Drosophila melanogaster: one gene and its partners. The protein of the gene in region 2 purifies or fractionates together with the protein of the main gene of each other region. This does not show direct contact. Each region holds a gene or a part of one and is shown on either strand. Other genes may lie near its edges.

What was found.
Region 1: the proteins of CG10887 (region 2) and CG31954 purify together in Drosophila melanogaster (affinity purification with mass spectrometry, with the first as the bait; one large-scale study listed by BioGRID). This does not show direct contact.
Region 3: the proteins of CG10887 (region 2) and sick purify together in Drosophila melanogaster (affinity purification with mass spectrometry, with the first as the bait; one large-scale study listed by BioGRID). This does not show direct contact.

Annotation. Positions count from the first base shown.
Region 1 is NT_033779.5:3,508,231-3,512,349, forward strand, and holds CG31954 (uncharacterized protein), read right to left. Parts: upstream 1,873-4,119; 5' UTR 1,843-1,872; coding exon 1,565-1,842; intron 1,498-1,564; coding exon 942-1,497; 3' UTR 828-941; downstream 1-827. Other genes in the region: LeuRS (Leucyl-tRNA synthetase), read right to left, coding at 2,359-2,796, 2,858-4,098.
Region 2 is NT_033777.3:20,112,459-20,117,905, forward strand, and holds CG10887 (uncharacterized protein), read left to right. Parts: upstream 1-2,379; 5' UTR 2,380-2,480; coding exon 2,481-2,520; intron 2,521-2,578; coding exon 2,579-2,618; intron 2,619-2,674; coding exon 2,675-4,625; 3' UTR 4,626-4,681; downstream 4,682-5,447.
Region 3 is NT_033779.5:19,824,191-19,829,738, forward strand, and holds the start of sick (sickie), read left to right. Parts: upstream 1-2,283; 5' UTR 2,284-3,083; coding exon 3,084-4,688; intron 4,689-5,548.

The DNA of each region.
Region 1 (4,119 bases), on a different chromosome or scaffold from region 2:
AATGTTATTCAACCCAGACTATCAAATTCTATTATTTCAATAAGAAGATTAGTTGTCACAAAAAAAAGAAACAAATTAATAATGCTGTTAATTAGATGGTTAGACTTTTGTAAAAGGTGACAATCTAACTATATTTTTAATATAAAGGAGCAGATTTTGATTGAATACATTTCAACTATGAATTAATTTTTTTATTTTTTGCAAATAATATTTAAGTTATATATCCATTGCTGCAAAGTGAATGGAGAAAAACGAAAGTGCCAATGTAAGAACATAGCATTGATTAGACCACTTCAGCCGATCCGCCCAAAGTTTCCACTCAACGTAAGTTGTGCGATCACTTCGCCAATGCCAAGGCTATGCAAGTACATACATCTGAATTATGCAACGCCTGATGTTAATTTCTGTAAGCTAATTTATCACTAAGCAAACACAACAATGGCGGAGTCCGTTCAGCGGCAAAGTAAGCCACGCCAATGCACAAAAACTTGTCCCTACGTATACGTAATGCAAGTAATTGCGTATACGCCGCATGTAACACATGAACGGTGGACAGTCACGATGAAAGTTGGCTGATAAGCCTCCCAATCAAAAGCAAAACAATTAGATGCGATGCCCACTCCATCCCTCACAAACGGCCAAGGACTCGTGCAGCCCGACACATCCTCTTAACGTGGCCAAGTAGACTCATTTCCAACAACGCGACATGCGCCGGCGAAGTGTGCGATATCCTGGAGGGTCGCGTGTTTGAAATGCTGGCTGCGTGCTGGCAACGTGTGCGAATCCTTCTATTGAAGCGGCGCATTATGAAATGGTTCCATCGGATTGGTTGGCATCGTTTGATAATTTTTTATTGCGGGTATTTGAAATACATCTAGTCAAAGCAATCGCATAGGAAGAAATTGATTTCAAACTATGTTAACTGTGCAGGATATACGAATCTAGACACCACTGTGCTCCTTGATCCAATCCCGTGCGAAACTTACTCTTGAGTAGACACCCGGATAGTCGGGCTTAGCGCAACCGTAGCCCCAGCTAACCACGCCCACCAGCTCGCCCGATTCACTGACCATCGGACCGCCGGAATCGCCTTGGCACGCATCCTTTCCGCCTTCCAGAAATCCAGCACAGATCATTCGCTCGGTGACGCCGCCGTACTGTTTGTACTTCTCGCTGCAAAGCTCCTGATTGACCAGAGGCACCTCCACCTGACGCAGCCACTCGCGGGACTCCAGCAGGTTCTGGGTGTTGCCCCAACCACTCACGAAGCAAGCTTCCCCGTCCATGTATTTCATCTGAGACTCGGGCAGCTTGACCGCCTTTTTGGTCTCGTCAAACTTGATGGGATGAGCTAGCTGAAGCAGCGAGAAATCGTAGTCCACATTGGTGTAGTTGAACTGGGCGTGCTGCACGATCTTCTGCACCCGCAGAAGTTGGCCACTGCGAGCAAATTCGCTGGTTCCGAGTCGCACTTTCAGGCGATCTGCCGTTTTACCACTACGAAATCAGGAGGAATCATTTTTGGCATACTCTCTAGAGAAGATTCCTTGAGCGGCTTACTTACTATGTGCAATGGGCGGCAGTCAATATCCACTCCTCGGATATAATAGAACCGCCGCAAATATGGGACGAAGTCTGCAGCGAAACCTGATGTGGTGCATCGGTGATGTTGATGCGGTGACCGCCCACAATACGGCCATCCAGGCGGGGTGATAGCTTCCAGGGATTCTTTATAACATCCTCAAGCGATCGCTGCCTCTTAACGGGCTGTGGTATTAAACAAACGCCAGCCAGAACCAACAGGCTGCACTGCAGCAGTACAAACAAGCGGAGAGCCAACATGGTTGTTTAACATAAACCGAAGGTATTCAATGGCCTAAGGCAGAGTAAAACCTTATATAGGAATGCTTTTCTTGGATTAGTGATAGCCACCCAGTGGGTAGAAGACCCGCTGTGCCATCACTGCGCAGCTTATCCACCAGCTGACACACAAAATGCTCGGAACACATTCATTTCGGGGTGGCATTGGACACACTCTCATTTAAGAAGTCACTTGGTTTCCTCGATGTTTCAGAATAAAGTCGTTATCTTTCAGTTAGCATTCAATTGTTTAATTGGGTCACTTGTAATGCCCCATGAAACAGTCATTGTAAAAGGTTTCAAGTTCAGTCGGAGTCACATAAGGTAACTTAAATGGTTCAGCAGCTAACTTAGGAATATATCGTATACCATAATCTATCGTAAGTTAAATTGGGCACAACCAACTCACAGTACATTTTAATAGCCATTATTTGTGTTTTACAACATTTTAATTTCATTCTATGAATAAGTTAGTTTGGCTTGTGATGCCGTTTTGACCTAATCCACCACATAGATCAGATTCCTTCCCACTTCGGTCAGTTTTCCAGCCTGCTCCAGGCTCACTTTCTTGTTCTCCACATCCAGAACGAAGTTTCCCTCGCCGAGTACAGACTTTCCTGCTTTGTAATCCTCAAAGTTGGGAATTTTTCGGGGTCCCAGAACGGGATCCTCATACCGCCAGATCTTAAGGGTAGCCGCATCCGTTTTAAGTCCAATAATCTTGGAGAGCTTCTCTCGCAGAGATTGGACCGTGTCTCCCTCGGATATGACAGTGTTGACCTGGAAAAGCGACGAGCGCTCGATAGGATTCGTGAGCTCAACGCTCACATTTGGGGCCACTGAAAAGCTGATGAAGGGAGAGCCGGGACGCACTTCTTCACGAGTTTTCTCCGGCGCTGACGGATCATCGGTGTACTTAATTTCCAAGACATCAAGCTGAAAATAAACCAAACGTTAATTTGAGTTGCTAACTCATCAAGCAATAGAAACTACTTACATCCAGTGTGTTCTTCAGGTACTCCAAATTGCTGATCAACACCTGACGCTCATCGAACTCCAAAGTCACGGCCAATGCAGCCACACCCTTGCCGGACTCCACCTTTTCGCGAATCATCTGGGCAAAGGGCATCACTCGTTTCATGAACTTCTTTAACTCGGCCTTTTGCTGCAGTGTAGCAGCGATGACTTTGTTATCTGGAAGGGCCTGCGATTTGTTAAACAACTCCTTCATGGTATCGAGGACACAGCACTGCCAAGGAGGATAGGTCTTGGCGACCCAAACGAGCCCTCGATTCGGTTTCGCTGCCTGGACATTCACAGATTTATCTTTTCCGGCCTTGCCCTTGATTTGCAGCAAGTTCTTGAGGTTCAGACGGAACGAGTGAGCGGCTTCCATGAGGTACTCCGAGCACAGGATATCGACTTCGTTGATGGCTCCCACTTCTGGCCACCGAGCATGAACAATGGACTCCTTGTTACCCAGCAGTCCCCAGACATGCTCCGCCATATGGGGGCAAATAGGGGATACCAAAAGAGCTTGTCTGCGAATGAACTCCAGAACCAGATCTTCATGCATTCCATTTGCGCCACACAGCTCCCTGTACTTGTCCCTGGCCAACTGCAGTTCGTAGAAGCCACTCCTTAGAGCCTCCTTGAACAACATCTTTCGGTAATTCTCATCGGTTTGCTGCGTTTTCAAATTGAGTTCACTCAGGAAAACTTGATCGTTGAAGGTTTTATCAGTGCCCTTTCTCAGACTGCTCCTGTTTTCCAACATCTCTTTGACCCACTCAATGAAAGTGTATAGACGCAGAATACCAGCATCCGCAGTGCTCTCCACGAAATTGGCATCCTCCACACTGTCGCCGGCATCAGCTAAACAAAGGCGCATGCCATCCGCAGAGAATTTGTCCACAGCTTCGGTCAGAGTTAGGAAGTTTCCGTCCGATTTGGACATCTTGGCAGAATTCAGCAGCAGATGACCATTGACACGCATTCCTTTGGGCCACTTGTTTTCATCATTAGGCCAAATGGCAGCGTGATTGTAAAGGCAGAAGGTCAAGTGGTTCTGGATAAGATCTTTGCCAGAAACACGGAGATCCATTGGATACCAGTACTCAAACTCGCGTCGCAGAACTGCCAGATGTTCCTGTTTAATGGCCGTCTTTTTTGGCAGTGGGGTTTCCTTAAAGAAAATATAGTCCCAGATTTCGCCAGTCATGTCGGACGGTTTGATGCCTGTGAAAGTGTAAATGTAAA
Region 2 (5,447 bases):
AGCAGTTAATACTGCTTCGCCCCAAAAGCTTTTATCTAGCTTTGCACCACTAACCATGGTTCGAGCTTTTTCCGTAATGGTTCTTATCATTCTCTCAGAAACACCATTTAACTGAGGTGTATGTGGCACTGTTAAGTGATAAGAAATTCCTTTCTTAACACAAAATTGTCTCATCTCATTTGACAAGTATTCTCTACCATTGTCAATGTATAAGTACACAACCTTTAAATTAAAATGAGCTTCACTCTTGGCTACAAAATCTTGAAACATGCTAAACACATCAGATTTATATTTAATTAAATAAGTTACACAATAATGTGTAAACTGATCAACAAAGATCACAAAATAATTTTTATCATCTAAAGTAACTGGAGTAATAGGCCCACAGACATCTGAGTGTACTACAAAAAGTGGTCTTTTAATATGGGTCTTATCTTTCAATTGTTTAAAAGGAAGTCTTGCCTGTTTACCATTTAAACAGGGTTCACAAATTTCACATGATAACTCTAAGTTGTTTAGAAGACTTTGATCACTAAACATATTCTTTCGTTTTATTTCTAATAATTTGCCATCGCTTATATGGCCAAACCTCTCATGCCATAAACGAAAATTATTTTTATGCTTAGCATTTATAGAATATGCTTGAAAATTGATCACAGGTACATTGTTTAACATACCTGAATTTTTGACAACCATTAACCCATTTTTCGAAATGGTTACACCGCTTTTGTCAAATTCGATCGACATTCCTGCCTCTTGGAGACGCTTTACGGACATCAAATTACCAGCAGCTTCCTTACAAAAGAGTACATCCTCCAGTGTAATCTCATGGTCATTCCGTAGTCGGACAATACCACGCTTAGTGGCATAAATAAATTCGCCTTGCTTGGCCACTGCAATCTTAAGTGGAGGCACAACCTCCACACTGTCGGTATACAGCGACTCATCATTTATAAGATGGTCACTAGCACCAGAATCAAGGACAAACCCGCAGTTGTCCATCACTGAAGTATTATTCACTTCTTTTACCATAAACGCAATGCCGTGTGATGTTGCAGTTTGAACTTGTTTTTCATTTTCTTTATTTTTATTATTTAATATTCTTTTATAATGGAAACAATCTTTTTTAATGTGGCCTTCTCTGCCACAGTGGTGACACTTGACTTTATACTTTGAATTTCCCTTGAATATTTTCTTTGGTTTAGTTACCCGATTTTTAAACAAATTATTTTTATAAGTGTTATTATTGTTGTGCACGATCGCGTTCATAACTTTCTTGCTTGTATCGTTGTGGTCATTTTTAATTTTAATTTCTTGATCCAGCAATCTATTTTTCACAAACGCCAATGTCAAATTTTCTTCAGATAATGTCTCTATCGCTGTAATAATTCCATCGTAACACGAAGGCAATGTGATCAGTAGATGAGAAATTTTATCCATCTCTTCTATTTTTGCACCAGCTGCCAACAATTCACTTATAAGTTCGTCAAAAATATGAAAATGGCTTAATAGTGACATCTCACTTGATAGCTTCAGAGAAAGCAAACGTTTTCGCAGCGCCAGTTGCGACGCCAAACTTTTTCGTTCATAAACGGCGTCCAAATTCTCAAGAATCTGACGCGCCGTAATGTCGCTTGTTGCGAAATTTAAAAACGAGTCGCTTAGGTACTCTATTATTGTACTTTTTGCACAACGCTCTGCCTTTTTCCAGGAGTCATCTACCTCGTTAGGCATTAAACCATCAACTACTTTAAGCACATCTTGCTCGGCTAAAAGAGCCCTAATTCTAAATTTCCAAATCGCGTACTTCTCGCCATCAAACGGCTTAATATTACGTTTAGCCTTGTCCATTTTTCACTCAAATTCTGAGAAGGAAATAATTTCACAAGAATGTGAAAAAAAAAGCTATTTCACAAGAATGTGAAAAAATGCTATTTCACAATTTATTTTCACAATCTTTAATTCACAATTTAATTGTTTATTAGGCATGGACTGGGCCCATAACCTGTTGTAATTTATAATTTATATTTCCTTTCTTAATAAATAAATAAATAGTCAAGTTTATGTTTGAGTTTTATGATTTATATTTTAAGTTATTTCAACTGCAACACCAGCACCACGACCTACTCACAGCAAAAAACGTACAAGAAGGAAAGAAGGAATAAAAAGAGTGGTATTCTCTTACAATATGTTTTATGGCATAAAAGGTGTGGCCATTCATATCAAATATAAAGTAGTGTTGTTTAACGTTATTTTTGTAGGTTGAATAGTATATTCCAACAGTTTTAAACCAATTAAAACAGTAGGGGAACAACACTGATTGTTAGAAAAGCTGACAACTCTTGCCCAGACAACTCTGTCAAACAATCGATAAATCAGTCACTTGGCTCGGCTGTCATTACGTAAAAAACCATATAGTTTTTTTTCTGTGCTGCTTGTGAAGAAATTGTGTTCCACTAACTCTTCGCCTTACGCTAAAAATGGCTGACCCCAATTTGCACGACAATCAAGTAATAAAAGGTTTGTAGTCTATAGAATATTAATAAAAATTGAATTATTATCTACGCTTTTACTTTAGATGGTGAATCTTCCGAAAGCTGGCCTGCATTCAATAGGAGGTTGGTTTAGGTACATATATTCTGCAGAACTTAGTAATCCCATATGGCTTTTCCAGGAGCCCGAATCCCTCTTTCTCCAGCGTTGATCAACAAGGAAATAAAACTAAGGCACGAAGGCAGCACCAAAGCCGTTCACATTCTTTTCACTCAACAGCAAATAGTGTTCCTGAATCGCAGGGACCTCTTGAATCTCGATCTGATCTGAACGCCAAGACATCATCGAAAAGCGAACGACCATATATTTCCACATCCAATTCAAGCTGGACCTCTGAATCCAGCTCCGGAAGTCCACCAGATTCAGGAGAATCGTCTTCGTTTTCGACTTCATCTTCGCTTTCATCATCATTATTATGTGCTCCAGAACCGAAATCTATTAACTGGAGCAACCCGAAATCTTCTTCAAATATCTCAAATGAAACCACAACTTCTGCGGGACAGGTTGGCGGCATTCCGAGCTTTTCAGAAAGTGATGACCAGGGAAGTGTCGACTCTGAAACAGTCTCTAACATCAGAAAATCAACTTCCCTCATAGAACTTAAAGACAATTTCAATACAATCATTGACGAAGATAATAATCAACAGCTCTCTAACGAGGGCAACATATTGTCCCCTGGGACAGTTTCTATTTCCAATTTTCCAAGCTCGAATGAAGTAGCAAATGGATTGATTGATGAGATGGAACAAGACCTACTCTCGAAGCAACATTCTACATCGACCCCAATAAATAAAAGTAATACAATGGAAAAAGAATTGCTCCCATTGCAATGTTCTTCATTTCCACCGACATCATCCGAAGGTAATATTTTAAAACCCAGGGTCAATCCTGTGCCATTAGGTCCCAGCTCAAATACAGAGTATGAATCAAATGGAAAAAATTACAACATTGAAAAAAGGTTGTCCCAATTGCGATATAGTTCAGATGAAAAGGAATCCGATGTCTTGTCGTATGCCTCTTCTGATAGTCTCGATTTAAATTTCGATTACGGTGATAATGCAAAGAATCAAAATGGAAATGGAATGAATGGAGAGGTAAATGGTGATAAGGAGTCGCAAGTTCTTGATATAGAAGAACAACGCAAACCTTTTGAAAAAGATGTAGCAGTTAAGTTCCAGACCACCATAACAACCCAAAATTGTGGACTTCTAAAAGGTCCATCGCAGTTTCTGAAGATGCCTTATTTCATACCCGTGGAATCCAAGGCATACGTGCCTGAAACCTTTCAGGATCGCATGACTAAGAATGATTTGAAGGACGAACAGTCACGCGAGGATTTCATAAATCGTCTAAAGGCAACTGTTAGGTGGCGCGAGAACGAAAACAAAACCAAGGAGTCCAATGCGAAAATTGTTCGTTGGTCCGATGGCAGCGAAACCTTTCATGTGGGCAACGAGGTTTTCGATATGATGCATCACCCGGTGACCGTTAACCAGAACCATTTGTATGTTCGCCTGGGCAGCTTCTACCAGCCTCAGGGTTTGATCCAGAATAAGTTGACTGTGCGTCCCATGCTGGACTCCAATTTCGGACAGAGTCATGTCCAGGCCTTGCGTAATCGAGCCACGAATAAGCCACAGTCTGGGTGCGTTAAGGTGATAACGAACATGGGCTCCAATCCCGAGCACGATCATGATCGGCGCATGAAGGAGGAATTGTCCAAGCTTCGCCAGGAGGGTCGTGAAAAGAATCGCGCGCTTATGAAGAATCATCCTCCGAAACGTGACAGGCACTATCAAGGCTCCGATCACAATGTGGCCAAAAACGCAGGGGCATTCGAAGAGGACGACGGTGAGGGTGCAGATTGCGAGACAAGCTCTGCATTGGAGGTTACGAATGAACCAATGCGCAGCGAGGAAGATACCGAAGATCATATGGACGATGATGCTTCTTGGAGCTCACCCAATTCCCAGGAGGAAGGAAAGCAATCGAGTTCCGAAGACGATCTCCCGATCGGAGGTGCTATCCGCAAGCCCACGCGTTTGGTCTATTCCGGATCAGATTCCGACTAAATATTAAATAGCCGCTAGATACGAAATCTCAATAAACATGTCATTAGCCAGCACGCAACAAAGCGTAGAGCCAGGAGTAGCTGCAACTGATATTTAATTAACAATTTCTCGCGCCCACAGTGGGTGTACGGCCATTGCCTTAATTAGGGGGCGTGGCAGCTGAGGCAGGCAGACATTGGTAGTCGGCGCAGAAATTGCTAAAGGTCACAATGGGGTCGTGATTGCAGCGCGGAGCACTCTAACCCAAATGCCATTGTCCGACTGCCAAACTGGCCGGCATACCAACGCCCAAAGCAATTAATGGTAGGTGCATTGGATTGCTGCCTGGTGTTTTTGGGAGATTGGACTCGTGACTCGGTGGGTCGTATGTGGGTTTTGGGGGCGGCAAGTGGGTGGCTTTCTGGTCAGCGGCTCAGTCGGACTTTGCTCTTTGATTCCAGCTTTATATTTGTCACCGCCATCTCAGGTAGCCGAAATAAGATACATACATACTTAGCTTGTTAAAAATTTGAAATTAATAAGTACTTTATTTGTTAGCAAAAGGCGTTATCCTGAAAATAGTTATACATTTGGTTGTTAACTATGATTATTTTGTCTCATTAAGTTTTTGTTCTACTTGTTTCCGTGAATATCGCTATTGTTTTAATTGAAAAGTATTTTACTGTATCTTAAACACAAGTATATAACAGAATAACAGATTCAGGCGCTTGTATTCTTGTTCAGGAACCACTAGCCGTTTAAATCTAGCTATGTCCGTCTGTCCATATGCTCTATAAGATTGTCACGCACAAGCTCCATATAATAAAAGTTCTCTGCAATAGA
Region 3 (5,548 bases), on a different chromosome or scaffold from region 2:
GCTTTAATTGAATTGCACATAGATTCTGATTTAGTTTTATACATATTTTTTTGTGCCCTCAAGCTGGAGCGGAAGTTGTGCGTTGTTTTTGTGGTCCTTTGCCACGCCTACCACGCCCCAACTTGCGGCGCAACTCAAAAGTCCTTAGAAGTGTTTCAAACTGTCATACGCATTGTAGTTGGCTCTTTTTATTCCCTTTTTACTTTTTTCGGTACGGCCTTTGCACTTTATTTATGCCCTGTAATTTAAAATTTCCATATGGAGTTTGGCCAAGAATTTACTGAATTATATGAATTTATACCTACCCTTTAAAATTCTCTCAATGTTTGTTAGAATTTTCGCCAAATATATTTGTTTTGATGCAATTTTCAAATGAAATCTAGTGGATAGAGTATCTAGAAGTCACACAAAAGGCGTACTTATGAGTTTTTTCTGGCAAACCTCAGCATACTTATACTTCTCTTCTTTGTTTGAATAACGTTTTGGGTTCTGGTTGGGCTTTTTGGTGCAATAAGAGCAACTGAAGGATGGAAAGAAAAGCGTGCACTTTTCAAAAGTGGGCTTTTGTGTGGAAAGCGAGTCGAGGGGCTGGGATTCTGGTCAACTCACTAGCAAATCAAAAGCATTTCTAACCAACTTGCCAGCGAAGTTTGCACAGCGTGTTGGGCGCAGAAAGCGGCGCTAAAAGAACTCAGATTGAGTGCAAATAAAATGATGTCATGAAGTGGGTGGGCGGGCTAAAAGGCACGGAATGCATGCTCCACTTTATTTCAGCTATCAACTCGTAAAGTTTGCGGCTTGATGGCCTCCGGCAAAACGTCGGGTTTTCCCAGTGGGTGGAAATCTGTTCTTTTTTTCAGAGCTGCAGAGCTGAAAGAGACCACGGCAAAACTGCAATTACAAGTTGGAAGAGGAGGACTCAACTCAATGCGCAAATCTTGACAAGTATTTTGTCAACTTTGACTGCTGCCAGCTGGAAGCAAAGGCAGATGAAGTGCGAGCAACTTCAACCTCAAAGCAAAAGTGTTTAACTTTAAGTCCTGCCTTCTGCCTTTCTCTTCGGGGTCCTTTCATTTTTTTCCTTTTTGCCCCCATTTCGTCCCCATTTCACGGAATCGTCATGGAAACTGAAAGTGTCAGGGATTAGGTGATGCTGGAGTAGAGAGCCACTATCCACGTGGCTTTCAGGGGGATTTTAAGCCCAGGGGAATGGACGCAGACAAGGATTGTGTGGCCTTATAGGAGTTAAACATTTAATACGTGTACTGCCCAGTTATAAAAGTATAGATTCAACTGATTAGAGCACATTTGTAGAATAGATTTTAACATTTCTGCTTCTTTAACTACAATCGTAATGGTGATGTAAAGAAAAACTGTGTTGTTCCTAGAAGATGGATTACCAATTGCATTTAATCTGGGAAGTAAGTCAAACTGGAATTTTATATTATTTGCATTTATCACCATTTCATTAGCATACTTTGCTAATCTGGATAAATCAACCTTGGGCTTGAGTGCTGCCCAACAGCCCTCCCCTTTTCAGCTGCCTACTTTGACACTAATTAACTTGATTCAGTATTCGAGACTACTGCCATTGCCTACTGCCATCTGCAATTCAATTAAAAATTAACATTTTAATTGCAAATTACTTTCAGTATACTTTATGGGACGCAGGCACAGACACCGGCAGAGAAACTCCACTTAACTGGAGTAACTTCTTTCGCCTCTGCCACCTGCAGCCTGCCATTTCCGGAAACGGAAGTAGCAGGATGAAGAGGAAGAAGAAGAGGAGCCATTGGAACATCGGCTCATTGCGAGGCGTTTAATTCTATCATGCGCCAACAATTATGCAACTTGTTGGTTCACTGACTCAAATGGCCAGGCGGTTTTCAATTTGTTGCCAATAAAACTTTTTCCATTTCGGTTTCCTCTCAGTTGTTGCCACGTTGGCCTGGCGAAAAATGTTCGTCATAGTTTTGTTTTGTGAGTGGGCTGAAATAAAGGAAATTAAAAGTTCATTGCTGGTTTTCCGAGTGGAAACAATGCTGGGATAATCTCGATTTGGCGAACATGCTGTTCTTTGGCATTGTTCATTATTTGTTATATCTATTTGGATTACTCACATTTACTCTACGAATCTCAGCAAGTGTAATGGAAAAGATACCTGTACGTGAGTGATGAACCATTCCTTTGTTCACTTCGCTTTCCACTTAATAAATTCATGGATCCATTTGCTGTCAATTTGTTATTGATATCTCCGTTATGTCTGCATTTTTGCGACCGGGGGGAAACTGAAGGAGAAATGAAACTTAATCAAATGTGAAACTCTAGCGAGCACTTGATATGCATTTTCGTATTGAATTTCCCTTCCAGCTTCTATCGCACAATCGCTTTTATTCGAAAATTGCACGAACAAAATAATACCTGTGCTGTTTGCCGGAAGCTGAAGAAAAATGTATGTGAATGCTTTTCGGTTTTTTCAATTTAAAGCATTTAAGTTGCAAATATATATGTATCCACCTCTGCGGCTTCAATGCACAAATTCAAGTTAAAACCGCATGTGCAGTACTTTAATTGTATTATTGTTCACCATTTATCGCAATCCCTGCAGCGTTGGCTTCCTGTTAATTGCTTTGTAGACAAATTATAAAAAGCTCGACTTTGGCATTGTTTCGGCGGCATTCTGGAACACTTCAAAAGCAGACGAAACCACGGCGTAACCATGACCATGACTATGACTCTTTGCCCGCAAAAACAACCTAGAAACGTATAACTCTTTTTTTTCCCCCGACCAGCTGGGTCAGTTTTAATTTAACTTTGACATGCATCAGCTAAAAAATCCAATTACAAACACAAATGTAAACAGAGATAGTAGAGAGAGAGAGAGAGAGGACATGGAAAAAGGACCTTATTTTTTTTGGTCGAAAGACTAGAAAACCCATTAACGCGTTTTTGCCCTCCATAAAGATGAAGATTTATAAAGCCATTAATTTGGCCCAAGCGGCGAAAAAATGTATACAAAATTTGTGAGTGAGTGTGTGAGTGAAAAGTGCTGAGCCCATGGAAGCTGCAGTGAAACCCTAGAAATGTCCAGTCAGGCAGGAAAACTGCGTCCGGGTTCCTCAACCAAGCCCGATCGCAATGCGAATGAGGAGAACCAACTGGGCGCCAAGCCCAAGAGCCAAAGAACGGACAATCATCATCAGAATCAACCGAAGATGTTGCCACATCCCAACTACATGGAACTGGAGTTCCTTGCCACGGATCCCACGGCATCGGCGCAGAGTACGGCCTATCCGGACTTACCAGTTAGCTATGCCACCTGTTTGGTGGGTCCACCACCGTACAGGGATCCGCTGCCTCCCACACCACCGCCCCTCTCCCAAATGCCATCGAGGCTGCTCCACTCGGCCCCCAATACGCCCAGTCGTGGCAAGGTGGTGCTCAGCAAGAAGGAGCGCAAGGAGCTCAGCAAGCAGCTGGGAATCGACGAATCCTCGATCCTGAGCAGCAGTGCCCAGTCGAGTCCCTACAAAGGACGTGTGAGTGAGCTGAAGAACTGCATAGCTCGTGGCCTGTTTGCCACCCTTCATAGGGGCTCACAGAAGTCGCTGCAGCAGCAGGAGGAAAGGCCCATCAGTCAGGAGATATCCCCGCCTCCTCCAGCTCCAGAATCAGCCAATAATAATGAAGATGTGGCGGATTACTCCGAAAAGCTAAGGAATCTACCAGTGAGACAGCGCAAGGCTGCCACCTCGCACATGGAGAACTACTGTCTCTTTGATCCCGTGGACTTTATCAACGAGAAAGCCATGAGATATCCCAGTACTCAAGCCCACGGATTGAGGGATCCCCTTTTCAGCTCAAGACAGCACTTGGTCTGCGAGGATGAAGATGAACTGGTGCCAGAAGTAATATACGATAACGAGGAGCTCGAGTTGGAGGAGACTATTATCATAGAGACTTCAGCTATGCCAGAAGCGGAATCAGAAGCAGAACCGACTGCCAAAAATTCAGAGACCATGTCTAGTTTTGATCACCACAACTACTTTATTATAGACCCAGCGAACTTTCCCATGGACATCGGCATACCTAATCCCTATACCAACGAGCAGCTGGTGAATGCCAAGTTGGAGCAACAGAACCTGGAGAAGCTCTTCAACGAACTGGAGAACACTGCCAGCATGTCGAACAGCCAGGAGTCCAAAGATACGGAGACCACATCCACGGCCCTCGTAGAATCATCCACCTCAACGAACTCAGCAAGTTCCGCGGGCAGCTGTTCCCTGGCCAATCCCGCCCAGCAATCGATGAAGAAAAAGCTGACATTTCTGAATCTTTCGCCCTTTCGCAGTGGCAAAAAGTCTATCGACAAAAATACTTCTGAGCAGCAACGTGCCATTTCCGAGCTGGTCAGCACGGATCACATGTTGCACCTGCAACAGTTGTTGCAGCAACAGCGAAAGGATCAGCGTTCGCACACGGTTCCAACGGAGTCCAACTATGTGCTCTTCAACCCGGGCCCAGTGCCTAGTCGACATGTCCAGTACAAGATACGCAAACCACGACCTCTATCAACCCACAGCGATGCGGATAGTGGTTTCCTATCGCCCTGCTCCCCCGAAGAAATGCGTGCGAATCCGGCCATTTTGGTGCTTCAGCAGTGCGACAGTGTTCAGGGATATATGGAGGTAAGTCTGTGAATATTTAATGATATAAATATATAAAATATCACCATGACATACAAAAAGAAGAAGCTTAATAGAAGCATCTGTTAGGTTAATGGAGAAAAAAACCGAAAACCTAAACCACTTCTTATTTTAAACAGAACTTTTGTGCTTCAGCTTACAAAGTAAAATTCAATTTTTATCCAGACATTTTTCGAAGACTTTCAAGAAGAAAGAAAACCTTTTCCCAAAAAATACAAATCATTTATCTTTGTTAGCTTTGATGGCTTGTCCTGACAAAAGGGAACTTTATTATTACCTATGCAAATCTGGGTTTTAATGCTAAGATGCAGCCCGAAAAGTGCCACAATAATGTTCAGCTCGGTGGGGCTCACCAGCAAATGGCTTATTTTGGTGAAGCTCTTATGACCCTCTCAATATTGCAGTGCATGTGGCTAGGTTTCATACATTTCCTACATAATCCTCTTACCGTAATGTGAATCGCCGCATTAACCATTGGAAGGAACCCCACGCAGCATCTTATCTATATGGATAATTTCGCATATCTTAAGCCGGTAATCATTGCGGGCTGTTTCCGTAGTCGCACTTGTCGCCATTTGCCGGCTCACTTATCTTAACGAGCGAGCAACTTAACAAGTCTTATTATGCATCTTCAAACACCCCAGGGGAGGTGTTGGCTTACCCCTCGAAGGACCATTTTCGGAAAAACCCACCCGCAAAGGCGATGAACAAATGTCACCCCCAACGGCCGAGTCCTCGAGTATAAATTATCAAAAAAAGAGAAGAACGAGTCACGGAATTGCAGTTTGGAGGCAGTGCACTGCAGATGATTCCCAAAATCGAGGGCTTTTGAGAGCAGTTCC